Linked DNA regions of Arabidopsis thaliana. The protein of the gene in region 1 interacts with the protein of each later gene in a pairwise test. Each region holds a gene or a part of one and is shown in the gene's direction. Other genes may lie near its edges.

Region 1 (7,591 bases):
AACCCAATTCTTAAAAAGAAAAAAGAAGAAGGCTGATTAACAATGAATAATAATTTCAAAGATATAAAGAAAAAAGTGACAAGATGATATCTTTAATTATTTTTATTCTTGGGGGTTGATTAGATTATATATGTCAAGGTGTATAATGGAATATTACTGGTTTAGTAGCAGCTTGAATCATGCGACCACATCCAGGACAATGTTTTGATCCGCAAAGATGATGATGTTCTTCGAGCTTTGAATCTATGAGGTTACATTTACTATTCTTCATAGTTTTCTTTTGATCTCTAAATGATTTGATGAGAAATTGATCTGCAGTTTATGAACAACAAAAAGTAATTTTTTAAAAGATATTGATCGATGCATATATACACGATTCAAAGCATATAATAAAAAAGAAGACAAAAATAGTTAGTAAATATAAAGATTACCAGATTTGTATGACAATACGAGATCTACCAAAATTAATAAAAGGTAAAAGAATGAAATTGATAAGATGAGTTGATGTCATTAATATGCATATATGCGTGATAAAAGAACACATAGACAATTTCAAAACATGACAATAATAAAGAAGAAGTACAAACAAATATCAAGATTACCAGATCTGCGTGAGATCGATTGGATAGGGAAAATGTAAGAGGAAGAAGAATTTGATAAAGACGGGAGTGATCTCAATATATATAGTAGAGAAAAATAATAACTTGTGATTTATGCTTTTTAAGTATTATAATTATTGTTATTAATATCTCTCTTTGTTTCCAGAAGAGACACAGAAACACATGTAGATACGACTTTAAGTACTGAAAAATCTATGTCAAGTAGATAAAGAAATGAAGAAGAAATGAGGAAGACGAAGAGTAAAGGAAATAAAAGGAGTTGAGACTGAAAAGGTTAAAAACCCTAATTTTACTCTCTCTTGTCTTGTGCGACTCATCTTCAGTCTATCGACCAAACCTTTTATTTATTTCCTTTTTGTTTTATCTATCTATTTTATTTATTATTATTAGTGTATTCGTATTCTAAGGTGGTATGTATTAATATTATAATAGGCTTTGTACATACAAAATTAGTATTACTCAGCTAAATGAGACATATCAGACCATGTCAACTTTTTTTGAGCAATATAAGGAAATTACGAATTGTGAGATATTTATAAGTTTTAGTTGGAGTCAAGCTGTAAAAAATGTAAGGCTTTCTTTTTATCAAAAAGATAAAAATCTAATTTTAAAGATTTTATTTAATAATCTTGTGCTTTAATTAACTGTTGAATCTCGCTCTTTTGTTTGAAATAAATATTTGTTTGTACATCCATTTTAATAGTATAAAACCTGGTACCTTCTCTGACCTTCTGAATGTTTTTGAACATAATTACGGATTAATTTAGGAGAAGATTATCAATATTTTTAAAATAAAGAACGCAGGAAAAGAACATAGGAAACAAAGCATTTAAGGATAATCTCTTTGGATTATAGGGCAAACACATGTTTTTAAGAATCTTTTTCTTTTTTGCTTTCTTTCACATTATTTGAAATATGTAACATATTCTTGTGGGATTTGAACCCAATGGTCCTACACTGGTGTGGGTCCAATGATGATGTCGGGAGATGGGGCCTAGCCGCAGATTTGTTTGAACAACAGATCAAACGGTCATCATTTATTTGATCTAAATGATTATATTAGGTTTTGCATTTTTTCTTCTCCTTTGAAAAGATGAAAAACGAAAAAAGGTCAGAAATCTACTGGAGATAAGAGTACCGTCTGAGACTAGAATAAACATAGATATCAGCTGAAAAAATTGATAAGAGTATGATAATGTGCTTATTCAGTTTTATTATTAAAAAAATAAAAAAATTAGTCTGCTACGAAAACACAAGTATACATACTATAGTTGATAAGAGCATTATCCATGGTGTGTAGTAAGTAAGTAAACAAACCATTATATTTGGATTAATCGAGTATTCAGCAAATATTCATATTGTCTTGTTAATGATTAAGAGCCTAGAAGTCTTTAAAATATCCATCAAGATTCAAACATTATGACTCAAACTAGTGTGGTGTTGTCCATTATACTCGAAACGAAATGGTATTTTTTCAACTTTTGCTTGTAAAACTTAGCCAGTGCATGGCCTTTATTAAATCAACTATTGGGTCACTGCATGACCCATTTATCAACCTGTAACTGAATATTGGGCTTTGGCAAAGATCCAATTAGCTTCATTCGTATTTCAGAAATTTGATTTTATATCCGACTGAGTAGGTACGTATATGCAATACGTTATGTCCTATTAGCCTTATGGGACTCACGGGTACTTATGCAGGAGATGGATTAATTTCATATCCATCTGCAAACTAAATACATTTATTTTCTTATGGCAAAAAGCCAAAAACTATGTAACGTTTAATTTACGAAAAAAAAAATATTTAATATTTGGGTTATATGGATTTTTTTTTATTTTTTTTTTTTTTTTCGGGACATTAGCGAGAGTCATAGTATTAAAGAAACAGTAAAAACAACGACCAGATTTAATGCAACTTTATTACTACTTTAATTCAGATTCGAGAATTGACAGGCAAATACGCATTATTTTAGTACATTATGAAGAATCATACAGTTACATATTTCACATATATATTGTTTTAAAGATGTAAAACGACTAAGCAAGTATGTCATCTGATAGCATTATGAACTAATAACTTTTTGTCAACTCTGATTTTCATTTTTAAAATTATTATATCTTGTTACCTCTTTGTAACCAGCAATAGTTTCTTGACAACAAAAGAATCGGCAAATCAATGAAAACTTATTAAACTAACACACAAAACATAAAAAATAGTGATTAGCCGACACAACAAAATTGGATTTGTCTTTCTCTCTTTAAAAGATTTTCACCCGAATATTCCTAAAGATCTGAAATACTGAAAATATCACACAAAAAAATCCAAAAAGAAAAAAAATCATTTTAAAATTTAGAACTTGTTTTTCAAGGCCCAAAATTAATCGTTGTCAATAATTGGAAACTTAAAAATAAAGTCTTGTTCTAGAAGAATGTGAATCATCTTCTCCAAGTTTCAAACGTTGGTTTTTTTCCCCACTGTGATCGTCAGCTTTATATATTATATACACGAGAATCTTGTACCCAATTAACATATACATACATGTAAATGTGTGTATGTATATAATATAAAATTATTCTCCTTTTCACTAATTTTTCTTCAAATACTTTAATGCCCACCACCTGTTCGATCAAATTCCCCATCTCGAAAAGCTAGAACTTTCTTCGTCTCTATTGGTCTCTCACTCTCTCTCTTACCTCTTCTCATTTGTTCTTTCTCCTTCTAAATTGGGTTATCAAGTATATTGGATCAACGGGTTTGATTCACGATTTGTCATTTCATCTTCGTGGAGAGAGTTTGATCTGATTTGTTGATCGTCAGCGTTATGTCTAGTCCGAGAAGTAACAAGCCGAAGATTGTCAACGGTCCTGGTGGTTATATTCTACAAGACGTTCCTCATCTCATTGATTACCTTCCTGATCTTCCTGTATGTTTCACTTGATCTCTGATTGGTTCTAAATTGATTTGAAAATTTCTCGATTTGCACAAAGAGATCGAATCTGATATCGTCTAGTTAACAAAGGAGGAATCTTTAGCTTTGGGTTTCAATGTTCTGATCTGTTTCTGGTTTACTCTTAATAAAATGGTGATAATTCGTGGTTTTGATGTTATTGCAGACTTATCCAAATCCATTGCAAGACAATCCAGCTTACTCAGTGGTTAAGTAAGTATCTTCACCTATTTCAGACGTTTCCATTGCTTAAAGTTCATAGTTTTTGTTCTCATTTGGATGTTTTTTATCAGGCAATACTTTGTTCATGCTGATGATAGTGTCCCTGAGAAGGTAATTTATCAAGCATAATCCTTTTTTACCTGTAATTGTCTGAAGAATGGTGTTAGATGATCATGTCTTGTTGAAAGTGAGATTTTTAAAAGTAAAAGGCTCACTTTTTCTATCCTCTGTTTTATTTTCGTGTTATTTAGGTTGTTGTTCACAAGGATGGTCCAAGAGGAGTCCATTTCAGGCGTGCTGGTCCACGTCAAAAGGTTTACTTTGAGTCTGACGAAGTGCATGCTTGTATAGTTACATGTGGAGGTCTCTGTCCCGGTCTCAATACCGTGATTAGAGAAGTTGTGAGCAGCTTATCATACATGTATGGAGTAAAGAGAATTCTTGGAATCGATGTAAGTTTGGTGAATCATAATTAATCTCTTCGGTTTCATTTTGGATTTCATAACTATTGTCCAAACGATTCTCATTTGTTGAAATCTTATAGGGTGGATACAGAGGATTTTACGCCAAGAATACTATCCCCTTAAACTCTAAAGTCGTGAATGATATCCATAAACGCGGAGGAACAATCATTGGGACCTCAAGAGGTGGACATGATACCAACAAGATAGTTGATAGCATTCAAGATCGAGGAATCAATCAGGTTAGGGAATAAACACAGCCACTGCTTTTTACGTTGTATGTGAAAAAGTTTGTCAACCTTTTCTTGATGTAGTATCTGTTATCATTTAGGTTTACATTATTGGAGGAGATGGAACCCAGCGAGGTGCTTCAGTAATATTTGAGGTAATTCCATTGTGATATTTCAGAATAACAGTTGTAAGTTTTAAGTTTTAACAATCAACAACTGAACTTAGATTGTATATAACCATGTAGGAAATTAGAAGACGTCGACTAAAAGTTGCTGTGGTTGGAATTCCAAAAACTATTGATAATGATATTCCGGTGATAGATAAATCTTTTGGGTTTGACACTGCTGTGGAGGAAGCTCAACGAGCGATTAACGCAGCACATGTTGAAGCCGAGAGTAATGAGAATGGTATCGGTTTTGTCAAGCTTATGGGTCGTTACAGCGGTAAGTCTTTGTTTTGAAACATACAACTTAAAAGACCTTTTCGATTTGTTACTGACTAATGCTAGGCGGGTGTTGTACTACAGGGTACATAGCGATGTATGCTACATTAGCCAGCAGAGATGTTGACTGTTGCTTGATTCCCGAGTCACCATTTTACCTCGAAGGAGAAGGTGGACTCTTTGAGTTCATAGAGAGACGGCTGAAGGATCATGGTCACATGGTGATTGTTCTTGCTGAGGGTGCAGGACAGGATTTGATGTGCAAAAGCATGGAATCTACTCCTATGGATGCTTCTGGGAACAAACTTCTTAAAGATGTCGGCTTGTGGCTATCACAAAGCATCAAGGTAAGAGTTAAAAACTTTCAAGATCATGAGATTCTTATGCCTTTTACAGAAAATTTCCTCATAGGGTTTATTTCCTCTTGTTGTAGGATCATTTTAAGAAGAATAAGATGGTGATGAATCTCAAATACATTGATCCTACATACATGATCCGGGCTGTTCCAAGTAATGCATCAGACAATGTTTACTGTACACTTCTTGCTCAGAGCGCGGTTCATGGTGCAATGGCTGGTTACACTGGCTACACCAGTGGTCTTGTCAATGGAAGACAAACATACATCCCTTTCTACGTAAGTTACTAATACAGATCTAATGTGTGCGGGATGGTCCTGAATTGAATCTGATCGTGTACTTGTGAGCAATTCTGAATCGTGTCATTGTTTTTTTGTTTGTCTTGCAGAGGATAACAGAGACCCAGAACAATGTAGTGATTACGGATAGAATGTGGGCGAGGCTATTGTCTTCTACGAACCAGCCAAGTTTCTTGGGGCCTAAGGATACATCTGAAGAGAAGAAAGAGTTGCCGGAAACACCGCTTCTTGACGACGGAGCTGTCGATATTCCTCCTGTGACTAAAGAGGTCACTAAGTGAAGAAGTTGCAGGGCATAATAATGGCATATGTATACTCAGAGGGTTCTGTAACCGATGCCGTTTCAGGCGAAAGTGAAATAATTGTTATTTTAACGAATTTGCCCTTTTGTGTATGTGCATACACAACACAAACACAAATTTTAGTTTTCTTCTAGATGTTTAGTTTTGTAATCCTTTTTGCATTTTCCACAACTGAATAAATGAATGAAGTAATAATCTTCGTTACTTTGATCCTATATTTGTTCTTGTATATGTTTTTTCACACTCAAAATGAAGAGAATAGGATGCAAGAGAGCTAAATTGTTTTCACACATAGATACTTCAAAAAGTTTCTTTTTGGTAACTGATCTTTTAAAGAATGAGAAAGCTAAATCTGAATGATTTAATGCAGTCAAAAGTGTTTTTTTTTTCTTGAAGGTTTCTATTATTGATAATTGAGAATTTGATAACTTGTTTGGATCAAATCTTGGTCTAATAATGATTTGTCTGATACTGAATTTGCAAAAAAATCTCAGTAATAGTGTAATACTTTTTTTTGGTTAAAAAAGTAATAGTGTAATACGACAGACCATAATAAATAAATTTTTTAAAGCAGAAGATGAAAGAAGAAAATATCATTTTAGTTTATAATAGGACAGACGAGATACAATTACCGTTTGTATCAACATTAGCATTAACATTAGCTAATGTAACAATACAACTTTATTAACTGGGCAATAATATGCTTAAACGACAAGTAATCAAACACACACACCATTTTATCTTTCTAATAGTAGACTTTTTTTGGACGGCCTCGATGCCGTTTTCACCACCTCAGATTTTCCGGGAAATACTGAAAAAAATCCCAAACAAAAATTATATCACAATGCTGTAAAAATTAAGTACATATCCTATTTTTCAAAAGCAGAATATGGTAAAGATCCTCACTTTCTTGATAAGAGACATGTAGTACGGCTTAACCTTCTCGACATTGACGTGTACTTTGCTCTTGCTGTATAAGTCATACTTGCTATATAATAAAACATACAATATAAGTATTAAAAATCTGATCATCGGGAAAAAAAAATCGGGTTTAATTAATTAAGAAAGACTTTTATTTAGAGAAATAAATTACTTAAAAACATGAAGCCATTTGAGATTCTCCTTGTCTTCCTCGTTCATAAGGTGAGTGTAAGCTCCAGCCTTGTGCAATGCTACAATACATTAATGTTAATTCATCAATCAAATTATGTTACTAATTAAGTGTTTAGTTAGTTAATAGTTTTATTGTGCTTACGATAAAAGGAATGGTATCGGATGATGAATAGTCCCGGGGATGGTAAGGTGCTTCCATTCTCCTTGGCCACCTATTTAACCATATAATAATCGTTTTGTGAATCATGTAATCATAATTAATGATTATAGTTGATAAACTATAGAAAGGAATTAAAGAATTTACCAGATACATGTAGTCATCATGTCCCCATGACATAAGAACATTTTCAAGTCCACAGCCTTCAGAATAAATTCCAGCTTTGGTATTGTACTTAGGGTTGTTAAAATCAGGGTTTTCCATAAAATACTACAATCATGGTTGAAAAGGAAAAAAATATATTATAGAAATCACTTGTTTGGTAAATATTAATCAACTAGGTTCTAACTATCAATATTTTGAGGATGTCAAAAAAAGAACTATCAATACTTTGAGTAACTAGCAAAATATATTGAGTTATATGTACCTTGTGGTGTACG
Region 2 (7,741 bases), 3.5 Mb from region 1:
TCCTCTGGGCTTTAAGGTTGGTAAATGATTCATAAGATCTCTTCAGCCAAGCAATAATTTGAAGGGAATCCTGAACTCTCTTTGCTTCTGAAATTGTATACCGTGTGTACTCTTCATCCGTTATACTGCAAATACATTAGAATTCATACTATTAGAGATGGTGGTAGCATAATTAGTTTTCTTTTACATAGATTTGTGGGATGAATTATGAACAACTTACGAGTGAAGTGTAATAGCTTCTCCCTTCTCAAGCAACTGAGCGAACTGACCCACATAGACTGAAGGAGTAATAGATGCAGAGCTGCTATCAATCTCTTGAGCTATTTCAGACATTGACAACAACAGTTCCAGGGCAGATTTCTTATCCTTCAAGTAATGAGCAGCCAACTGCGTGTAAAACGAAAATTTCCCAGTGGATAAGAACATATTATATTTTCAACATACTGTACCTAGGAACAGACAGCTCAGAAATTTATGAGAAAGAGGACGAAAAATCCAGCATTTGCTTAGAGGTAGGTGTTTAAGTTTATGTAGTATTGTTTTTAACTAAATGGTAAAAGACACAGAAAAGATTTAACACAAAATGCACCACCAAGTTTAGATATGTTCCGACTATGTGTTACATAGAGCAGAATTGACTGACCTGATAATAATAGGCAGGGTAAAACTCAAACTCAGTCAAAGATATTTCCGCAGTTCCTTGGTTTGAGGATGTTAAGCTCTGACCAGTTGCTGAGCTTGTCTCCAGCAACTCAGCAAAGACAAGAAACTGCCTACTCATCCAGTCCCAATGGAGAAAAATAAATTCTGTGGATCCGACAACCTTTTCATATGATGTTTTATGTTGATGAAACCATGTCACTGCTTCTATGAGTTTTCCACCATGCAACAAAAGCGTTGATATCTTGAAATGCAATTGCTCAGCTATGATTTTGATCTCGACCAAGCGTTGTATTGCAGGCAACCTAGTCGATGTCCCGATCATCTGTTTGCATAAACAAAATTGCTCGTCGAAATTGAATGTGTGGAAACCGCAGGCAAAGATATGTAATAATAAGAAAGCAATGACCATATATGCATCAAAAGGAACTTCTTGACTAGAAGCAGAATACATATTAGCGTGACAGATGGGTTGGGAAAAAACAAAATACTTAGAGATAATAAAGACCTCGTGCAAGGAATGGTATGCGTCTTCATAAAACTTCAGTGCTTCACCCCAATCTCTACGAAACTCTGCATATACAGCGACCTAGCAGTCATGGCATGAATGAGCCTTCCTTTTCCCAGATACTTTGGAACAAAATGATTAGACTTAGCAGAGGTAACGAGAAAAGCTTACTTTAAAACAGTAGCGAACATTCAAATCAAGAGAATTGGAACTCCTTTTCTCAATTCGGCTTTTGATTCTCCGTCCTTCTTCTCTGTAATAAGAAAGTGCCAACTCTGCAAAAGCAGAAGCGAGTCTGCAAACATACCGTGTTGAGATGCATTGAAGGAAAAGCCTCTTGTTCTAGGTGCAAAGTAAAAGAGGAGAGAAACATACCTGGAGAGAGAGAGCGTGAGTTCAGAGACTATGCTGGAATTGAAGAAGAGCACGTACTTAGAATCTAATTCTGCCCGCTTTCGCAATGCCACCAGACGATCGTCGCTAATGTCCTCTAAAAACAAGTCGGGAAGGAGTAAGTCACCAGTAGTTCCGAGAGGAAAATGAAAAGAATAATCGGATAAAATGCGCTACCGTGGGGAGAAGACTGGACCACGACAACCACCAGTTTGATGTTTTTGGGACGGATTACGGATCTAGCAAGCAATTGAGATCGCAGTGTTAATTTGAGGGTTTGAAACAAAGGAGGGGAAACAAGGAAACAAATATAAAGGGAGATGAGGAAATACTTGAGGCTGTCGAGATCGGAGCAGACCTGTAGCCATTGAGTTGGATCGCCGAAGATGTGATGTGAGGGAAAGAAGGCGGCGACAAGTGCAGGGACCTTGGTGCGATGCTTAAGCAACCAGTCCCGTTTCAAAATACCGCCGCATCTGGAAGGAATGGGAGAAGCAGAATCGGAGACGCTGAGAGGATCTCTGAAGGAGGAGGTTCGGCTGATCTGATCATCATGAGCAAGGAGGAGAGAGATTTGAGAGAAGTCGGGGAAGGCCAGAGCGTTGATGGGAGGCTGCTGGGAGTGGAGATACTTAGTAATGGACGCGTGTAGCTCCGCGTATCCGAAGAGAGCCACCAGACTTACCGGTGGCGTCCTGAGCTCTTCCGGGTATTCCTCCATCTCGCCGGGGAGTGTCTGAGACTCGGACGCGTTGAATCGAGCAAGGAAGGATCTGACACATTCATTTTACGTGGGCTTTTAACGGGCCTTTGGATAAGGGAATGGACTTGTATAGCTGTCAGATTGTTCATCTGGCCCAGAATATGATGTGAAATACTTAATGGGTTTTCAACGGGCCTTTAATCTTTAAGGGTATGAACCACTGCAGTTGTCAGATCTGATTTAAACTAATGTGGTTTCTAAGGATGTAGTATCATCAGGCCCATTATAAGCCCACTTCTTAAAGATGCATCGACTCGTCAAAAAAATAAAATAATACAAAGAATTCGAATTGGTTGCATATACAGAAACATTGGATTTTACAAAATGGAAGAAAGAATTATTGGAAGAGAATGAGAAGCTGTCAAGCGGAGGAGCGGTTGATGAAGTCAATGCAGTCTGCAATTGCATCGGCGTAGAAAGAGTTAGAGCGACGTATAGATGTGTAATCAAGACCGTCTTCTCTGACCAGCGGAGGCCTTCTGCAGCACCAGCTCCTGAGAAGCCTGAAAAAGCTTCTCACTCTCGCACGCAGTCTCTTTGTCTTCTGCCTCAGCCTAATTCCTCTTCCACTCGGCCATCGTATCCTTGCTCTTTCCATCTTTCAACTCTGTTGCATATGCGTCAGATTGTTGAGTTTTCATGTATATGCAAATTATCTATATATCGAGAGGCGAGGGCTTTCATGTCTGACTTTTAGAAGTGGTTGTTGAGAATTTTTGAAGACTTTTTTAATGATTGATCTGGTGCCCACGTGTCATTTTATGCTAGAGGGAGGTGTTGGTTAGTTGGAAAACTAGCTTCCTAACAAAAAAAACACATGTCTAACGTACTCGATAAAAACATATAATCTTCTCATTCATCAAGCATGTTGCAAGAGGGCTTTGAAATTGAGTTTGAAAAGCAAAGTTCCATTTGCTCTATTAACAAAATAAAGCCCATTATTAAAACCAACAGATTACTATAAGGCCCAATATCAACTTCCTAAACTAAGCGGGTGAAGATTTTGTTAGCCATTAGTGGTAATTTCTGATCCCATTGCTGCTCCTCTCTCCGGAGATACAAAGGCGAATCTGACCAGTAAGAAAGATGGCAGTCGAGATGGCCTCTCAGTCTCAGGTCTCTTTCTTGCGTCTTTAATCCGAATCTACGACGATCAATTCTTCGCTCTCTGAATTAATAATATGATCACAGGTTTTGGTGGAAGAGAAATCGAGTGTTAGAATCTTGACACTAAACAGACCAAAGCAGCTGAATGCTCTGTCCTTCCACATGGTATCGAATATTTCCCTTCTTGTACATGCGTACTGTATTGGCTTAGACTCATTTTTTTCTGTAGATCTCTCGATTGCTGCAACTGTTCCTTGCATTTGAGGAGGACCCTAGTGTGAAACTTGTCATCCTAAAGGTAATCATTATCCTTATCTCTTCCGCTTACACACATTTAGTACTGAATAACTTTGCCACAGGGTCATGGGAGAGCCTTTTGTGCTGGTGGCGATGTTGCAGCTGTTGTTCGTGACATCAATCAAGGTTTACCACCCATTCTTTTCTGTTTCTTACTTTCAGCTTTTATACACTCTTTCTCTATCTTCGTTCGTTGACTAGGTAACTGGAGACTCGGTGCCAATTACTTCTCATCTGAATACATGCTCAACTATGTTATGGCCACATATAGCAAAGCTCAGGTCTCGCTATAATTTCGTTTTGTTTTTGTAAAATCACTCCCGAGTGGATAAACTCATCAATTCGTATAGGTTTCAATCTTGAATGGTATCGTCATGGGAGGCGGAGCTGGTGTATCCGTCCATGGTCGATTTCGTATTGCAACTGAGAACACGGTAATCTTTCCTTAAACATGTCCATGGATGACAAATAGGTCGCTCCAAAATATGCTCATATCTTTCGACTTTCTCCAAGGTTTTTGCCATGCCTGAGACAGCTCTGGGGCTCTTTCCAGATGTAGGCGCCTCCTACTTCTTGTCAAGGCTCCCTGGTTTTTTTGGTAACAGAAGCTATATTTCCTTTTTTTGCATCTTCTTAAAGCCACCAAAGTTTGAAAATGCTTTCTTGTCTTTTTTGTTCAGGGGAGTATGTTGGCCTCACAGGAGCTAGATTAGATGGTGCTGAAATGCTTGCTTGTGGCCTTGCAACTCATTTTGTGCCTTCAACGGTATGAACTTCCTTTGCGTGCGTCTATTTCGTAAGACATTCTGAATTGACTTTACACATCAGATATTGTATAGCTACTAGTGTCAAGCACTATCTGCTTCACCAAGGATTGCTACTTAGTTAGGTTTACTCCTTTCCACAGAGGTTGACTGCATTAGAAGCAGATCTTTGCAGAATTAATTCAAATGATCCAACTTTTGCCTCAACAATTCTCGATGCATACACCCAGCATCCGCGCCTGAAACAGCAGAGTGCTTACCGCAGGCAAGTCTATATGATTTTTATCTCTTTTACTCTTTCTACTAGTATGGTTTTACCTGATTACATTTTCTCGGTTATTGACCATGATTATAACACATTTTTTCTATAATTTCAATTTCGTATTGCTGTCAGGTTTTCAATCGCTCTTTACAGAACTCATTTCTCATCTGATCTTTAATTGAAAATTTATAAAAGTGCAGAGGACAGTTATTTTTTATCTCCCCGTTTGTTGCGCAGGTTAGATGTTATTGATAGGTGTTTCTCAAGGAGAACAGTCGAAGAAATTATATCTGCACTTGTAAGCTTTTCATTTATATATAGAGATGTTGACTTGCGATCCTGAGTTGACTGATTTACCTTTGACAACGCACTCTACCATCATATGTGTTGCTTAGGAGAGAGAGGCCACTCAAGAAGCAGATGGTTGGATCTCAGCTACCATTCAAGCATTGAAGAAGGGTTCACCAGCAAGCCTTAAAATCTCTCTTAGATCGGTTAGTTCCCAGAATGTGCATCACAGGCAATGTTGACAAAGAGCTGACTGTGAGTATATATTTCAGATAAGGGAAGGGCGATTGCAGGGGGTGGGGCAGTGTCTTATCCGCGAGTATAGAATGGTGTGTCATGTGATGAAGGGAGAAATCAGCAAAGATTTTGTGGAGGTTTTGCAAGCTTTTTCCATCTGAAACCGTCTTTGTTGTAGACCGTAGTTACAACAGCGTGTCTTTACTTATGCAGGGGTGCAGAGCCATATTGGTAGACAAAGATAAGAACCCAAAGGTTTAACAAGTCTCTCCATTTGTTATTTGTGGTTGGTAATATGTGACATTGTTGATAACAATATCTGAAATTATAGTGGGAGCCAAGGCGACTGGAGGACATGAAGGATAGCATGGTGGAGCAGTACTTCGAGAGAGTGGAACGGGAGGATGATCTAAAGCTTCCGCCAAGGAATAACTTGCCTGCTTTAGGGATCGCAAAGCTGTGAAGTGGAGAAGGTGATGGAGCACTATTGTTTACGTCTGTGGGAAAGAAAAAAGAAAATAAATGTAACAACACTTGTGTTGAATAGGACTTGCATACATTACATAAATCATTATTGTATTTGAGAATTGACACCAAAGCAGCAGAGCAGAATTGTGTTAAGATTTGTTAATGGTGTTGGAGGCACAACCATGGCAAACGGACGTGGAAGCACGTCTATAGTCATTGTTCATTTATTTGATTGAGATTCCTCCTTGGTCTCATCTTCTGAAAACGAAAAATAATTAGAAAATCAGGTGAATCGTGAAGTATTGAATGAGAAGAGGCAATTAAAAATCTCCCGTGACTCTCGTCTCCCCATCTCTCTCTCTCCCTCTGCCCAAATTTCTGGGGCAAATTTGTTCATCAGATCTACTACAATCTCTCTTTTTCTTCGGGTATGGAGGGCCAACGAGGCAGTAATTCTTCGTTGAGCTCTGGCAATGGCACCGAAGTCGCCACCGACGTTTCTTCTTGCTTCTATGTTCCCAATCCCTCTGGAACCGATTTCGATGCCGAGTCGTCTTCTCTTCCTCCTCTGTAAGTCTTCTTTGAATTTTTAAAAACATTCACTCTCTTGCTGCTGTCTCTGTTGATCCTTCTTCTTTGAAAATTTGAAAACATTCTTAGTCTCTCGCTCTGTCACAGCTCCCCAGCTCCTCAAGTGGCATTGTCAATTCCTGCGGAGCTTGCCGCCGCCATTCCCCTCATCGATCGCTTCCAGGTTGAAGCTTTTCTGCGGCTAATGCAGAAACAAATCCAGTCTGCTGGGAAGCGTGGCTTCTTCTATTCCAAAAAGTCCTCTGGCTCCAATGTCCGCGAGCGCTTCACATTTGAGGATATGCTTTGCTTTCAAAAGGTTTTTCTTTCCCCCCCTTTCTTCCCCATTGACAATCCATTGACTGAATATGTCTCTCTCCCCTTCCTTCCTTCAGGATCCAATCCCCACATCTCTCCTCAAGATTAACAGCGATCTCGTCAGCCGTGCTACCAAGTTGTTTCATCTCATCTTAAAATATATGGGTGTTGATTCATCTGATCGATCTACGCCTCCCAGTTTAGATGAACGCATTGACCTCGTTGGAAAGCTCTTCAAAAAAACTTTGAAGCGTGTTGAACTCAGGGACGAACTTTTTGCCCAAATCTCCAAACAGACTAGACATAATCCTGACAGGCAATACTTGATCAAAGCTTGGGAATTGATGTACTTATGTGCCTCCTCTATGCCTCCTAGCAAAGATATCGGTGGATATCTATCTGAGTATATTCATAATGTCGCACACGATGCAACTATTGAACCGGATGCTCAGGTTCTTGCTGTTAACACTTTGAAAGCTTTAAAGCGCTCTATCAAAGCTGGTCCTAGGCACACCACACCTGGTCGTGAAGAAATTGAAGCCCTTTTGACCGGTAGAAAGCTCACAACCATTGTCTTCTTTCTCGATGAAACTTTTGAAGAAATTTCATATGACATGGCTACCACAGTGTCTGATGCTGTTGAGGTATCTTCTTGCTTTCTTTTTTCATAATTTACCGCTGATCATATTCTTGTCCCTTTTTCTCTCACTGCATTGACATCTGTTTCAGGAGCTAGCTGGAACAATTAAACTATCAGCTTTCTCTAGCTTTAGTTTGTTTGAATGTCGTAAAGTTGTTTCAAGTTCTAAATCATCTGATCCCGGAAATGGTATGCTTTCATATGACTGGCTTCGTCATATATTGTGAAGTAATACAACATTATCGATCATTTTTCTATCTGTGCACTTGCAGAGGAATATATAGGATTGGATGATAACAAGTATATTGGAGATCTCCTCGCAGAATTTAAAGCTATTAAAGATCGAAATAAAGGAGAGATACTACACTGCAAACTGGTATTTAAAAAAAAATTATTCCGAGAGTCTGATGAAGCTGTAACAGATCTGATGTTTGTGCAACTTTCGTATGTTCAAGTGAGCATTTTC
Region 3 (6,544 bases), on another chromosome or scaffold:
CACATGTAAGTAAGATGCACACACAACTTTTGTTAATCGTGCATACATCTGCTTACAAAAATAAAAATAAAATAAAAACCATATCTTATACAAATGGTTTTATTTAAAATATACTTTTTAGTCCCTTTTCTCGTGTAGCGTAAATAGACTTTTCCTAGTTTATAAAACAAAAGCATTTATCGAGCACATCAATGAATAATATATAGTTATTGGTGAAAAATACCAAAAATTCGGATTAAATTACGGAAATTAAACCTCGATTGTGTGTGATTTTCACTAGGATTATTATTATTACAAGTAACAAACTTAACGGGCCTATGATATAATTAGTGCATAATTGCCGTTAAAAAGTATATATTATAAATAAATCGTCACTTTATGGTTTTATAATATACACTTTCTAGTCCCTTTTTGTGTGGCGTATTATTATTACAAGTAACAAACTTAACGGGCCTGTGATATAATTAGTGCATAATTGCCGTTAAAAACTATATATTATAAATAAATCGCCACTTTATAGTTTTAATTAATAACTAAATTACACTTTCTAGTCCCTTTTCATGTGGCGTATATAGACTTTTCTAGTCTATCTAAAAATACACTACACTATCGTGCACATCAATCAATAAAAACATATATTCCAATAACAAATCTGGAAAAATTCATTTCAATTATATAAGTTAAGGTTACTGAAAACTGCCAAAAATTCAGAAGAAATTACGGAAACTAAATCTCGTTACTATAATTACGATGTAATTACCGTTAAAAAGGCAATAAATCTAGTACTAGTGATTAATTAACGGTGCCATTAAATTCAGTTATGTGTGTTTTAAGTGTTAACTACGAGACAATTCGCCAGCTGGCGAGTCCCACTTCCCTGATTTCATCAGGCTTTTATATTTATTCACTGCTTCATAGTAATAATTACTTCCCAAAAGATTTTTTTTTGAATTAGAAACTGAATATTTAAAAAAATAAATAACTTAACGGAAACTGTTACCTGACGGCGGATTCATGGAAACGTTTATGAGTCTGTTTTTGACGGAGAACGTGAAGGTCACCGCCGGGACAAAACTCCGTTAATAAACAGAGCCATTTCGGAGAATCAATGGCGGCGTAAAGCGTCGGAAGAAACGGATGATCAAGAGATTCGAGAATCTCTCTCTCCGTCTTAGCTCTACCTTCTTTGCTTCTGCTCGCGAGCTCCTTTTTATCCATAACTTTCGCTGCTAACAGAGGTAATTTAACGGCGGTGGTTTCTGTTACGGCGGTTAGGGATTTGAATTCGGCTAAGAAAACAGAGCCGATGTCGCCGGAACCGAGACGGAGACGGAATCTGAGATCGGAGAGTGAGAGAGATGATCGGAGTGAAGGAGGGAGTTTCGAAGATGAGAATGAACCGTGAGCTGATGGTGCTGGTGTTAAAGCTGCGGCGGAGGAGGAAGAGCGAGAACCGGAGCTTGTGCTTCGATTCACGGTGGTTCCGGCTGATGTAAAGCTTACACTCTGTAAGTCGTCGGTTAATTCGTCAATCCATGGCTCCATTTTCCGATCTACTGAGAGTGACGACGAGAGAGAGAAGAAGAAGAAGAAGAAGAGAGGGAGAGAAAGAGAGAAGTAACTGTGAGATTTTGCCTTTTTGGGGAAGAGAAAAAATAGAATCAAAAGAAGATGGCAAAGTTGTAATTTAAGGGTTGAGATATGGTGCGTTTCGTAATTTAAGGTAATAGTTCGATTGTTAAGGAGATGATGATACAGTATTCTATAATTGAGATGTTTTATTTATGTAAATAGACAATAATTAGGGAATTATTTGAGAGGGATTTTTGATTTCTCTATGAATTTTTAAGATCTTTGGTATAGGATTTGTTTCAAAAGAGAGAAACAAAGAGACATATAAATCTAGGCCCCTACAGAATTAAGATAATGACATATACATATCTTGTGTTTGTTCTATTTCAGTTGTGATTACTAGTATTTTCTTCGTATGGTACAATTATAAATAAATATCTAATCACTGTCTTTTGAATATTATGTCACCAAGTACAAGGATGGTGTTATTGGTGAACAATTTGTATCGTGAACTCAAATCCCTATTGCACGAACCTCAGGTTAGTGGTCGACTGGTCGCTCGGCCTCGTTTTCATTTCCTTTGAAACCATTATGGTTTAGATATTGGTTTAACTCAATTGCATATACCTAACCGGTTTGACTCGGGTGAATATGTTAGATAAGGAAAGTGTATATAACCCTTGTATTTTCTCATTAATGAAATCAGCAGAAACATTTTAGGTTGGATAAGGAAAGTGTCTATAACCATATCATTGAAAGACAAATTGCTTGGGTCGAAACCGGTTTTGTTAAGTCCGGCCCTGGATATATTACCAATTTGTAACACTCGTCTTAAACCGGATATTTTCTAGTCAGACCGAAAAAATACAAGTGAAAGAGGTTCAAATAAATTGATAACTTAGAACATTCATAACAATGACCAAAACAAATCTTTTCAATGAGGTTTGTAAATTGTAACTATATATCCGAATTAAAAAATAATCGTCATAAGTACTAACTGTTTTTCGGAGAATGAAATGGGCTATCTGTTGAAAACCTTAGGCCTGAGTTTAAAGACCATCTGTACAATTGGGCCAATAAGTAACGCATTATCCATCAACAAAGTACTGAAACATGAGACACTTAGACCATCTCCATCGGGGGTTTCTTGTAAGAATTTCTCACAATTAAAAAAAAAAAATAATAAAAATGAAGGAAAAAGAGTGTAGAAAGTTTCTCACTTGAGAAACTCTGAGATACTCTTTACAACCCATCATGATAATTCTCTTCTCATTATTGGTTCAACTTTTTAACAAAAATATTTTTTTAATCAAAAAATCAAATTATAATATAATATTAATTTTTTGTTTGTTTGAGAAACTTTGTGGGTTTCTCATGGATAAAAAGGCCCTTAACTTGTCATAGAAGTTACAACACAACATGAAAGTTAAACATCGCCGGCCAAAACAAAAATATTTCTGTGAATTTACACAAAATTATTTGCATTACCGACCATAATGTTCTCCTCAGTACCTTCAACACAATACAACAATACATTAACAAAATTGGTCTTCTAGCATTAGCCTCGTCTCTAAAATCTAACATCTTCTTCTACTCCTAATCCAACAATTGTTTATGTATATTCCCAATTATACCCCTCTATTACTTTGCTTATTACGGAAAAGGAGTTCAAAGAGCAGAAGAAGAAAACTCGTATATCCCAAATCTCCAACTTTTCAGGGGAATGATGATGTACTGTCCCAACCTCACGGCTTCTCTAACAATCCCTTCATATTTACCATTTTGCCACTACACTAGACAATTTCGTCCTTCTCATTTCCGATCATCTGATAAAAACCCGAATCTCGTTTCTATCATCCGAGCAAAACCCAGAATTTCTCATTCGCTTAGGTGCTTTGTATCATCTTCAATGGCGACTCCTCCTCCGACGCAGAGCAGCGAAACCAAACCTTACTCTGTTCTTTTTGTCTGTCTCGGAAACATTTGTCGCAGCCCAGCGGCTGAAGGTGTCTTTAGAGATATCGTGAAGAAGAGAGGTCTCGATTCCAAATTCAACATTGATTCCGCTGGAACAATTGATTATCACGAGGTATGATAATTAGTTCCAAAACAATTAATCTAATTTTAGGGTTTATGAGAGATGCTTGATTCATGGTTGATTTGAAATATTGGTGAATGATGGTTTTGTATGTAGAAAGGTTTGGTTTTGGTTTTAGGTTTTTTTGGTGGATGTAATTTGGTAGGAATACAGAGTTATAGAGACTTTGAAATTCATGTTTCTGAATCAATTTTGATGTGAAATTGCTCTTCTTACTAGGGAAGAGCAAAAACAGTAATCTATTTTTATGGTGATTGATGCTTTGATTGGAACAATTAGGCAATGGTGCTTTCAGATTTTGGTGGATGTAATGTGGTTGTAAATTAGGAGCAGTGGAGACTTTGGAATTTATGTTTCTGATTTGTGAAAATGTTGGTTTTTTAAAAGGGGAATATGGCGGATCCAAGAATGAGAAGTGCTGCGAAACGTCGCGGGATTGAGATAACATCACTATCCAGACCGATCAAGGCATCTGATTTCAGAGAATTTGATCTCATTCTTGCAATGGATGACCAGAACAAAGGTAGCTGATAGAGTAATTTATTCAACCTTTGTAGGGTCTGATCGATTTCTATGCAAATGGGATTCAACATAGGATAGAGACTTTTGCAAGTTGGGATCTGATTAGAGTTATATATGTAGAATTGAAATAAGTATGAGTTTGAATGTTTGATGTTTGCAGAGGATATATTGAAGGCTTATAATGTGTGGAAAGCCAGAGGGAATTTCCCGCCCGATGCAGATAAGAAGGTACCGTTGGTGTGTGTTTGCTGGACTTTGGAACTCTATTTAGTTGATAGATTTTCGTTGAATTTTCAGGTTAAGCTAATGTGTTCTTATTGCAAGAAACACAATGACAAGTTTGTTCCTGATCCATATTATGGTGGAGCCCAAGGTTTTGAGAAGGTAATTACCATTAGACTCTAAAGAAGCTGAATGCAGATATTTAATTTGGTTCATACCATTAGAGGTTGTCTATCAAAATGGTTGAGTCAGTCTATAAGACTTTAAAATGGCATTACCAGTGTCACTCCCAAGTAACTTTTCCATTCCCGAATTTTAGTGTTTTATGTGGACAAAACTCACTTGGAAACATGAATCTTGATCTCTTACTTGTTCTTTCACAGGTACTGGACTTGCTTGAAGATGCTTGTGAGTCTTTGCTGGATAGTATCACTGCGCAAAGTTGATGATACTACAAGTACAAAGTCCCAATCCTAGAACCTTTGTTGTTTTTGCACATAGAACTGAAAAGTTCTCTTATTATATTTAAGTGTCATCAGTGATGACAATAGAGTGAGAACTGATGTGAAGCTTGGATCTTGATCTTGTTGGTGTTTTCCTTGAAAAACCCTTTGTTAAATGATCTACTGATGGATCATTATTATTGAGATTGATAGCTTCAGTGATGTCAATAGTTTGTGAGGAATGATCTTCCTGATTCTTAAGAATCATAGAGAGTGGCACTCTTTACACGCTTGAATAATACGAATTCTTTTGTTCGATCATTATTATTAGGAAAGAAATAGATTTAAAAAAAAAAGAATGTGTGGACGTGAAGTGTTGTTGTTTGAGATGATAACAGAATATTTTCTCTTATCATTATGTGGCTTCCGAGAAATTAAGTGAATGGTGGTGGAGCATATGGACAATGATTTTGTCGTTTGCAATATTTTCCACGAAATCTCACTATATTTTCCATGAAACATCAATGGAGTTTTTCTGTGCCAATAGACTCGTCAACGGTCTATATCCTCATTCACACAAATTGTTTGAACTACCAAAATTCCATTAAACCCGTGTGATTCTTCAACTCTCTGGAGATTTCTCATCGTTTTATGCATCGGTGAGATTTTCATTTTTTTACTCCTCACTGTCTGAACTAAGTTCCAACTATTTTTAAGTTTTGCTTAAGGTTTTATCACTGTGGATTTGAATTGATTTGATGATAATGCTTTATTTGTTTTCGATTAGTGTTTTGAGCCCATTTCTTGATTATGTGTTCTTGATGGTGGGAATTAATGGTTGCAGCAGTGAATCATCAATAATCTAAGTTCTCATGGGTTCTGCAATGAGCTTGAGCTGTTCCAAGAGGAAAGCAACGAGTCAGGATGTTGATTCCGAATCTTGTAAAAGACGAAAGACATGCTCAACAAACGATGCTGAGAATTGCATATTCATTCCGGATGAGTCATCTTGGAGTTTATGTGCCAACAGAGTCATCACTGGTCTGTATCCATTCACATAAAGGCCATCTTAAATCTTGATCCACTCTTTACCATACTAATGAATTATTCTTATTTCCCTTGGCTCAGTGGCAGCCGTAGCTTTAACAAATTTCAGATTCCAACAAGATAACCAAGAAAGTAATTCTTCTTCTTTATCTCTTCCCTCCCTTGCAACTTCTGTGTCTCGAAACTGGAAACACGATGTCTTCCCGAGCTTCCACGGAGCAGATGTCCGAAGAACCTTTCTTAGTCACATCATGGAATCGTTCAGAAGAAAGGGAATTGACACATTCATTGATAATAATATAGAGAGGAGTAAGTCGATCGGTCCTGAGCTCAAAGAAGCTATCAAAGGATCAAAGATCGCAATCGTTTTGCTCTCAAGAAAATATGCTTCTTCGTCTTGGTGTCTTGATGAGTTGGCCGAGATCATGAAATGCAGGCAAATGGTGGGTCAGATTGTCATGACCATTTTCTATGAAGTGGAGCCAACTGACATAAAGAAACAGACCGGTGAATTTGGAAAAGCCTTCACAAAAACATGTAGAGGTAAACCAAAAGAGCAAGTTGAGAGATGGAGAAAAGCTTTGGAGGATGTGGCAACAATCGCCGGATATCATTCTCACAGCTGGTTTGTCTTCTTGAT
Region 4 (8,678 bases), on another chromosome or scaffold:
TTTGTTTCAGCTTCCATGGGAGATTGTGTCCTCTTCGGTGAAGCTGTAGATTTTGTTCTCTTTGAAACCCTTTGTTACATACATCGCATATGAATCTGTTTGTAGCCATTAGTGTCTTTGGAGATAATGCTACCACTTCCGCATCAGGATCTGTTTCATATAATTAAAGAATTTAATCATTTAAATTAAGTCACCAATTAGACCCAAAATGTCAATCTATGTAGACTATATCGAAAAAAATGATACACACACATGTAAACATAAATCAAATGACATATACACGTATAAACATATAAGATATACTGGCCTGTCAATATATATGAAATCTTGATACTAGCTAGATATACAAAACAAAATAGAACAAATGATTAGGGTTCTTTTTCTTCTTGGTATTATCTTAAAGCTTATATATAGTGATTCTTATAGAAAGGTGATAAATATATAGAGATTTATATGTAAGAGATACTTGCTTGGGTTTCCGGGTTGGTTTCTTCGTTTCTTGGGTGGTGGAGCTGAGGAGTTAGGTTGTTGAATCATTGACATAAAAGTATCTTTCCGGTTAAAGTCGTTATCTCCGGTGCCGGAGCTGGTGATGAAGAAAGGCTGAGCAGAGGATGATGATGAAGGAATAACGCTTGTGTTATATGATGATGACGACATCTTTAGATCTTCTTCTTTGCGTGGAAGAGAATAATCTACAAATAATTCGTAAGACAAAAAAGTTAAGAAGAAAACGAAGGGAGGAATTATAAGAACAGGAAAAATCCATAGAGATTGACGACATGAAGAAATTTTATAAAAACCATTTCACTAGAAGACATAAACAAAGAAAAACAAATTAAGAGTTTATACTTTTGTTTTTTGTTCCTAAACTTTTGAAAGAATTAAGAGGAAAGATTTCTAAGTTGTATTTTTCTTGTACCTGAGATCAAGAGAAAGAAACCAAGTAGAAGAAGGAAAAAAAATAGTCAAAATTAAAAGCTATAAATCGGAGCTAAAGAAAGAACCAAGAAGAAGATGATGCATGATGATGATGATGAGATAGAAGATGATGATGAAGAAGAAGACACTATTCCTATATATTATGTATTATAATACAAACACAAACCTCAAAGCCCTATCTCTCTCTATCTCTATATCTCTTTCTCTCTCTACTGTTTTGTGTTCTTCTTCTTTTAAAAATAAGCCATATATGAAATGATCTTGAAAAGTATGTCTCTAAGGTCCCCTCTCTGTCTCTATCATTTTATTTTATTTCGATTAATATAAAATAAAGCTACTTTTTTTCTTTCTTATAATTTAATTTGACAGAATTAAGAAGGATGGTTACGGTTTGGGTGTCACTGTTAAAACGGTGAAATGTGTCCACATGCGGGGGTGTGTTGTGGGTACCACATTTTTCTCATTCGTATCTTTCTGGTGAGCTTTAAGACAAAACCCTCGTTTTCTCTTCATTTAACTTGATTAGGTTTTGTTGTACTAACTTTTTTTTAATTGTTTTTATCTAATAAAATCGTTTATAATATAACATATCGTATATTAATACACATGATACACCAATCAATAGAGAATTTTTTAAAATTTGTTAGATTCTTGTATGAAAATTAATATATTGCTTTTCTTCTTTGGTTCAATTCTTCAACCTTTCAGAATGTTCAATGCAAAACAATCGAACCGATTGGTTTTGAATCAAACCTAATTAATCCTGAACGAGTAACCAACTCTCAACCGATCTGAATAGATTTTAAAACGATATATCACAAAATCTCCAATATCACTTTAAGAGCTTTGAGAAAATATTATTGATATATTATTATTCGACCGTAAAGTTTGATTTTCTCCTTTTCACTTGGGCTTTTTAATCTTATACAATTTAGTTTTATTTTAGTTTACAAACGACAACATATTTAAGTAACAGGTGACTTCTCAACTTGATCCTCTCTTCATTACCATCGATGCTTTTTAAGTTATACTGAGATCGTACCAACTGCAATGGGTCAGTGCCGGGCCATATTCAATCAGGGCCTCCCTGATTGGGTTGTAATATGATTTCAAGTTAGTAATATGAAATAGCACACAGTCACGCACACAAAAGAGCCTATATAAGGAGAGATATACCACAAACAGCCCAAGACCCAGTTGTTTTAGATGAACCAAAATTGTATGGAAATATTTAGTATTTGAAACTGCCGTCACCAAGATGGCAAGGTCAGAGAAACTCAATAACAACTCTGTTTCTGCCATTCCGAGAGTTAATATTAATTTTCAGAGTTAATGGATTAGCTAGTAAACATATATATACAAATGATAATAACCTGTAGAATGAGGATTAAGATCGAGAACGACGAGGTTATCTTTACCGCAACATTCCAAACGTAGCCAAAGCTCTATTACCATACCCCTCAATGTACATATCCAGCTTATAAGACTCCTATCCAGTATCCACCATCCAACGAAACACACTCTCAGATTCTTCCACATTATGAATACATGTCAACCAAATAATTTCTCACCTCAACCATCATTTCAAAACCAAATCTTCAAGCAAACCCCATGGATTTAAAAACCCTTTTCAAGTGCGTCAAACAAACCACAAGCTTTTAGATTTGTCGAGAAAGTGAAGTCGTTGGGCCCATTTCTTCGGATCCCTTAAGTTCACCATTAAGTACTCATTAGAGCCCATTTCTTGGGGCCCATTAAGAGATTAAGTCCGCGCGCATAGCTTTTGGAGGATGCCGCTCTTTTGTAAGAAGCAACACGTTGTTGAGTCTCTAACCTTTCTTTGAAATCTTGACCTTTCCCTTCCTTCTCCGCTAAATTCGTTTTAATTTCATCTTCTTCTTCTTCTTCAATTCGATGCAATAATAGTCACTTCAATCTCAATCTAGGGTTTTCAATTTTCTTCATGTGAATTTTTTTTCCCCTTCTTCTCAATTTCAATTCAATCTGGGATTCGTAAATTCTCGGAAGATGAAACGCGATTTCGACGAAATCTCCGAGGAAGAGTGGTCTCAACACTCGTTTAACGCTTCGCGAGTTCTTAAACGACCACGGACTCCGAAGAAGACTCGCGCGGCGACGAATCCAACGCCGTCGATTGAGTCTTTTGCGTTTAGGAGACCTTCGACGGCGATGACGATTGAGAGTAATAGCAGCGATGGTGATTGTGTTGAGATTGAGGATTTGGGAGATTCGGATTCGGATGTGAAGATTGTGAATGGTGAGGATTTGTTGTTAGAGGATGAAGAAGAAGTGGAAGAGACTAAGGTTGTGATGCGCGCTGCGAGAGTTGGTAGGAGATTTGTGATTGAAGATGAAGAAGCGAGTGATGATGATGATGATGAGGCTGAGAGTAGTGCTAGTGAGGATGAATTTGGAGGAGGAGGAGGAGGAAGTGGAGGAAGGAGAGGAGAAGATGAAGATGTTGTGGGGAAGGCATTGCAAAAGTGTGCTAAAATCTCAGCGGATCTTCGAAAAGAGCTTTATGGTACTTCTTCTGGTGTTACTGATAGATACTCTGAAGTTGAAACTTCTACTGTCAGGATTGTCACACAGGTACTGGAAATTATCACTTTGGTGTTCTTAAAGTAGTTGCTTTGAGACGATTTAGAGTGTCTTCCTTATACAATTGTGAAGTAACTTTTGATTAGATAGCATATTTTGGTGGTAAGCTTTGATTGGTTTGGTTAGAGTTTACTGTTTTGTTAACTAAAACTTGTTTACTTTTGGGTTGAATCTGTGATGATCGCAGAATGATATTGATGATGCATGTAAAGCAGAGGATTCTGATTTTCAGCCTATACTCAAGCCGTACCAGTTAGTTGGTGTTAACTTTCTTCTTCTGTTGTATAAGAAAGGAATTGAAGGAGGTATGTGTTTTTACTAGTTTCGATCTGTAAACCTTTTTAGCGTGAATGTCACTTTGTAACTCACTTTCTATTGTTTGTAGCCATTTTAGCCGATGAGATGGGTCTTGGAAAGACCATTCAGGTGCATTTTGCTCTGTTATTACTGGATAAGTTTTCTTTGTTTCTTTATCTTATAAAGAACTAATTTTGTTCTCATTTACCTTAGGCAATCACATATTTAACCCTCCTAAGTCGCTTAAACAATGACCCTGGTCCTCATTTGGTTGTATGCCCTGCCTCTGTCTTGGAAAACTGGGAGAGAGAGCTCAGAAAATGGTGTCCGTCGTTTACTGTACTTCAATACCACGGAGCTGCGAGAGCAGCCTACTCAAGAGAATTGAATTCTTTGTCAAAAGCTGGGAAGCCACCACCATTCAATGTGCTTCTTGTGTGTTACTCTCTGTTTGAACGGCATAGGTGCAACTCTTGATGCTTTTATTTGCTTTTTGGCTTTTCCTGTTACTCACAGATGTTGGAATTTTACAGTGAACAACAGAAAGATGACCGAAAAGTACTGAAACGGTGGCGCTGGAGCTGTGTTTTGATGGATGAAGCCCATGCGTTAAAGGATAAGAATAGTTATAGGTGGAAAAACTTGATGTCTGTGGCCAGAAACGCAAACCAGCGTCTTATGCTTACAGGAACGCCTCTACAAAATGATTTGCATGTACGGTTGGTTTCTGTTGATTTTTTCAGGATCTAATTACCTAATATAGACGACATTTCTTCATGTGGTCATACAATGCTTATTCCCTGCATATGTTTGGTCTATGCAGGAACTATGGTCGCTGTTGGAGTTCATGTTGCCTGATATATTTACGACAGAGAATGTTGACTTGAAGAAGTTGTTGAATGCAGAAGATACTGAGTTGATTACTCGAATGAAATCTATCTTAGGTCCTTTCATCTTGAGGCGTTTAAAATCTGATGTCATGCAGCAACTTGTTCCGAAGATACAGCGGGTATGGATATATCTATGCACAATTAAGTACACGATATTAATCTTCTAGCTGCAAATCTCATTAATTTCCCATCAATCCAATGCAGGTTGAATATGTATTAATGGAGAGAAAGCAGGAAGATGCATATAAAGAAGCCATAGAGGAGTATCGTGCTGCTTCTCAAGCACGGCTTGTGAAGCTTTCATCAAAATCCTTGAATTCTTTAGCCAAGGCACTTCCAAAGCGTCAAATTTCAAACTATTTTACTCAATTCCGGAAGGTAATTCTCAGCTACTAATACAAAGCCCCTTTTGTGCCAAATGAGTGTGTTATTCATGTGTTATTAAATTTTGGTTGTACAGATTGCAAACCATCCATTGTTAATTAGGCGGATATACAGCGATGAGGATGTCATTCGCATCGCCAGGAAATTGCACCCAATCGGTGCATTTGGATTTGAATGTTCCTTGGATAGAGTTATCGAGGAAGTTAAGGGTTTCAACGATTTCCGTATCCACCAGGTAAATGTTTCTCTTTCCAAAAGCAGTTGAATATCCATTAACAAACATGTTATGCAATTGAAGAAGCTAACTAACTTGTTTCTTTCCATAGCTTTTGTTCCAATATGGAGTTAACGATACCAAAGGAACTCTCTCAGACAAACATGTCATGCTCTCAGCAAAATGTCGGGTACGTGATATTCTTCTTCATTTCATAAGTCTTCTTTGTGAAACTGATTAAGTATAACTAAACCTGTGAGCGATCTAAATCTCCCTTTATGTATCAGACATTAGCTGAGCTTCTCCCTTCAATGAAGAAATCCGGCCATCGTGTTCTAATATTTAGTCAATGGACATCGATGCTCGATATCTTAGAATGGACACTTGATGTCATCGGCGTTACATACCGAAGACTTGACGGCAGGTAATAAAAGAAAAAAGAGTAATTTGTCACATTTTTGACGATTCTACAAAAAGGAAGAAGCTTAAGTCATTTTCCTTTTGTTTTCAACAGTACTCAAGTTACAGATAGACAAACCATAGTCGACACATTCAACAACGATAAGTCGATATTCGCATGTCTCTTGTCAACTCGAGCAGGTGGACAAGGTCTTAATTTAACCGGAGCGGATACAGTCATTATTCACGATATGGATTTTAATCCACAGATTGATCGGCAAGCTGAAGATCGTTGCCATCGTATTGGTCAAACAAAACCAGTCACTATCTTCAGGTTTGAGCTTTAAATCCTTGAATCAGTTTAGATAACTTTCAGAACAAAATTGTGGTTTGGATTGGTTTATGTGTGCTCTGTTTTGTATTCTCACATATATCTGTATTAACTCTGGCAATGCTGGTGCAGACTGGTGACGAAATCGACGGTTGATGAGAACATCTACGAGATAGCGAAGCGGAAACTAGTTCTTGATGCGGCGGTTCTAGAGTCCGGAGTTCACGTAGATGACAACGGAGACACGCCTGAGAAAACCATGGGAGAGATTCTTGCTTCTCTTCTCATGGGATAACATTATTGTTACCTTTTTTGTTTTGAGGTAAAATTAGTCAAGAAACGAAGTTAATGTGTTATTCTAAACATGTGTAACCACTAGCTATTATTAGACTTAAATTTAATAGATCACGATAGTTATATTTTCTTCTACGCATGTAAATTATAACCCAAAAATTTCCTTCTTTAGACCTAAAAGTCACAATTGTTCCAAACACTAAAATGTGGATCAGTGATCAAATGAAGTGAACCTTCAGGATAGTTTAGTCTTCGATCATCAAAGATTGTATAAAGGAGTGACTTAGCTGTATTTGTAGGTATCAAAATTGAAAACCTCACGCAATGATTAAAGGTCTCAAGTATCTTTATTCGTCAGAGTTGTATAAGACACAAATCTCACTAGATTGTTTTCCCATTGTCTTTGCCGAAACCTAACAATGAACAACTAGTTCTATTAGGATTGGTTCAAGAATGTCACATAGTATAAGTTTTTCTTAGCTGAAAAATTCTAGATAACTTGGAATAAATTCTAGATAGTCTTTTTTTTTTGCTACATTTGAAGATAAATATCTATGAAAATGTTCAAATTCATGATTATATTATTGCGATTAAATAATTGAATATGACTATACAAAATAATTCACTAGTAAATCAAAGCCATACTAAGTTTGGATTCTTTGTGGTAACTGCCATTGCCAAGTCACGTTTTGAAGGTGTTCTCATGGTCAATTTACACTTAAAATTGAACCTGAAAACTAAGGCCAACCGGAAACTTGTTGAATTGTGTGAAGTGAGAAAATGATAATCGTGTATAACTTATAAAGTCACATGATAAAGAGAAAGCAACCAGCTTTTTGTCTGCCATAACAGTTCTTTAAAATATAGCCACAATTATACTACTTAATTTAGAGTAACTAATCCCAAATATTACTTATCTAAGTAATAATTAGAAAAGTATTCGATATTTATTATCAATTGCGTTTTAACTTGCTATATAAATACAAAGTTTAATTTTTATATAACCCACTAACTTTTTCATTTTGGTATATGATAAAAATACTCTATCCCGTGACTATTCCACTTGTTGTTACTTTTTAGTTTTTTTTTTACATAGCCATTATCATTGTGGACTCCACAACATCCGCAAACTCAATTATTTACTTTTCTATACGTTTATTTGTTTTTTTCTGATACAAAATTTGGTGCATGAATGACTTCTCGAAACGGTAGATGGACTCCACAACATCTGCGTGTCTTGTCACCTTACGTTACGGACCACAATTTACACCTATGAAAGTGTCGGTAAAGCAAATAAAATCGAGAAACTCACACCACTCTTATTCAAATCCAAAGTGAATACTCCAAAAATAAAGTAAATGATATTTATCCAAAAATATCTAACAAACGCGTAAAATGTGAATTATCTTGAACGTTTTAATACCTCTTTACTCTCTTTATATAGTGCCATTTTCCTCACTAGCAGCAACACACTTGAACACTACTTTCGAACTCTCTCTTTATCTCTCTTGCAATGAAGCTCTCTATGCGTTTGATCTCAGCTGTTCTCATCATGTTCATGATATTCGTCGCCACTGGTTTGTTTCTCATAACCTAATATCTAATTTTCACACATAACCCATGTTTTATGATAACATATTTTAACATATATAGATAGTTTCATTTTTTATAACATTCTGTATTTATGGTTTCTATCGATTATTCTTGTGAATGCTCATTTAATTATAGTTAAGTTCACTTCGAAAGTTAAGTAATATGCATCAAGCATGAGACACATGAAACTAAGCTATGGTCTAAACGAAGTGTTCGTTTTGTGTTTTGATTTTGTCTAGGGATGGGACCAGTCACTGTGGAGGCACGCACTTGTGAGTCGCAGAGCCATAGGTTCAAGGGTACATGCGTGAGTGCATCAAACTGCGCCAACGTGTGCCACAACGAAGGCTTTGTCGGAGGTAACTGCCGTGGATTCCGTCGTCGTTGCTTCTGCACCAGACATTGCTGATCTACCCATTCTCATGCATAATTCAAGCTTTGATCCATCGTCGTGTGTCACTTCTTTCTTATCTAATCTTCCGTACAGTACCATGAAGTACCGTACATTAGTGTGTTCTCAAATAAGTCTTTGGATTTGTGTGTTTCCGGTTTAAATGTAATGTTAAATCAACTAATGACTTTGAGCCTTTGACTAGTAATAATCAAAATCTATGTTCTGATAACAAAGCTATTTTCCTTCGAAAATTATTTAACGCATCACTTCATGTCTCACCTTGAAGAGATCAACTATGATGAAACTTAAAAAAAAAAT

The links.
Region 2: the proteins of PFK7 (region 1) and CHY1 interact in a two-hybrid assay, tested with the Arabidopsis thaliana proteins (one large-scale study listed by BioGRID).
Region 3: the proteins of PFK7 (region 1) and AT3G44620 interact in a two-hybrid assay, tested with the Arabidopsis thaliana proteins (one large-scale study listed by BioGRID).
Region 4: the proteins of PFK7 (region 1) and ETL1 interact in a two-hybrid assay, tested with the Arabidopsis thaliana proteins (one large-scale study listed by BioGRID).

What each region holds. Positions count from the first base shown.
Region 1 is NC_003076.8:22,920,869-22,928,459, forward strand, and holds PFK7 (phosphofructokinase 7), read left to right. Parts: upstream 1-2,935; 5' UTR 2,936-3,442; coding exon 3,443-3,544; intron 3,545-3,734; coding exon 3,735-3,781; intron 3,782-3,861; coding exon 3,862-3,901; intron 3,902-4,041; coding exon 4,042-4,242; intron 4,243-4,334; coding exon 4,335-4,493; intron 4,494-4,582; coding exon 4,583-4,636; intron 4,637-4,726; coding exon 4,727-4,925; intron 4,926-5,008; coding exon 5,009-5,271; intron 5,272-5,357; coding exon 5,358-5,558; intron 5,559-5,668; coding exon 5,669-5,860; 3' UTR 5,861-6,095; downstream 6,096-7,591. Other genes in the region: NAC099 (NAC domain containing protein 99), read right to left, coding at 1-9, 158-271; MIOX5 (myo-inositol oxygenase 5), read right to left, coding at 6,666-6,692, 6,788-6,869, 6,975-7,053, 7,137-7,206, 7,299-7,421, 7,579-7,591. UniProt on the Arabidopsis thaliana protein: Catalyzes the phosphorylation of D-fructose 6-phosphate to fructose 1,6-bisphosphate by ATP, the first committing step of glycolysis.
Region 2 is NC_003076.8:26,374,831-26,382,571, reverse strand, and holds CHY1 (beta-hydroxyisobutyryl-CoA hydrolase 1), read left to right. Parts: upstream 1-2,890; 5' UTR 2,891-2,903; exon of another isoform or gene 2,904-2,954; intron 2,955-3,324; 5' UTR 3,325-3,410; coding exon 3,411-3,440; intron 3,441-3,515; coding exon 3,516-3,596; intron 3,597-3,660; coding exon 3,661-3,729; intron 3,730-3,790; coding exon 3,791-3,854; intron 3,855-3,929; coding exon 3,930-4,009; intron 4,010-4,078; coding exon 4,079-4,162; intron 4,163-4,241; coding exon 4,242-4,326; intron 4,327-4,408; coding exon 4,409-4,494; intron 4,495-4,635; coding exon 4,636-4,757; intron 4,758-4,991; coding exon 4,992-5,052; intron 5,053-5,149; coding exon 5,150-5,248; intron 5,249-5,314; coding exon 5,315-5,416; coding exon of another isoform or gene 5,417-5,440; exon of another isoform or gene 5,441-5,492; coding exon 5,493-5,534; intron 5,535-5,610; coding exon 5,611-5,742; 3' UTR 5,743-5,962; downstream 5,963-7,741. Other genes in the region: AT5G65950 (trafficking protein particle complex subunit-like protein), read right to left, coding at 1-125, 221-387, 644-985, 1,169-1,249, 1,340-1,463, 1,544-1,658, 1,739-1,800, 1,894-2,282; ZWI (kinesin-like calmodulin-binding protein (ZWICHEL)), read left to right, coding at 6,178-6,317, 6,408-6,636, 6,713-7,279, 7,365-7,464, 7,548-7,729. UniProt on the Arabidopsis thaliana protein: Involved in valine catabolism. May be indirectly involved in benzoic acid biosynthesis and in cold signaling and cold tolerance.
Region 3 is NC_003074.8:16,190,563-16,197,106, forward strand, and holds AT3G44620 (protein-tyrosine phosphatase), read left to right. Parts: upstream 1-3,266; 5' UTR 3,267-3,295; coding exon 3,296-3,661; intron 3,662-4,057; coding exon 4,058-4,193; intron 4,194-4,352; coding exon 4,353-4,576; intron 4,577-4,797; coding exon 4,798-4,860; 3' UTR 4,861-5,271; downstream 5,272-6,544. Other genes in the region: AT3G44610 (Protein kinase superfamily protein), read right to left, coding at 1,001-1,545; AT3G44630 (Disease resistance protein (TIR-NBS-LRR class) family), read left to right, coding at 5,730-5,898, 5,986-6,529.
Region 4 is NC_003071.7:520,511-529,188, forward strand, and holds ETL1 (SNF2 domain-containing protein / helicase domain-containing protein), read left to right. Parts: upstream 1-2,712; 5' UTR 2,713-2,970; coding exon 2,971-3,555; intron 3,556-3,751; coding exon 3,752-3,869; intron 3,870-3,949; coding exon 3,950-3,990; intron 3,991-4,074; coding exon 4,075-4,325; intron 4,326-4,394; coding exon 4,395-4,575; intron 4,576-4,684; coding exon 4,685-4,870; intron 4,871-4,955; coding exon 4,956-5,129; intron 5,130-5,211; coding exon 5,212-5,370; intron 5,371-5,461; coding exon 5,462-5,539; intron 5,540-5,636; coding exon 5,637-5,773; intron 5,774-5,863; coding exon 5,864-6,082; intron 6,083-6,211; coding exon 6,212-6,374; 3' UTR 6,375-6,558; downstream 6,559-8,678. Other genes in the region: IDD4 (indeterminate(ID)-domain 4), read right to left, coding at 1-150, 471-660; LCR69 (low-molecular-weight cysteine-rich 69), read left to right, coding at 7,887-7,950, 8,206-8,375. UniProt on the Arabidopsis thaliana protein: DNA helicase that possesses intrinsic ATP-dependent nucleosome-remodeling activity and is both required for DNA repair and heterochromatin organization.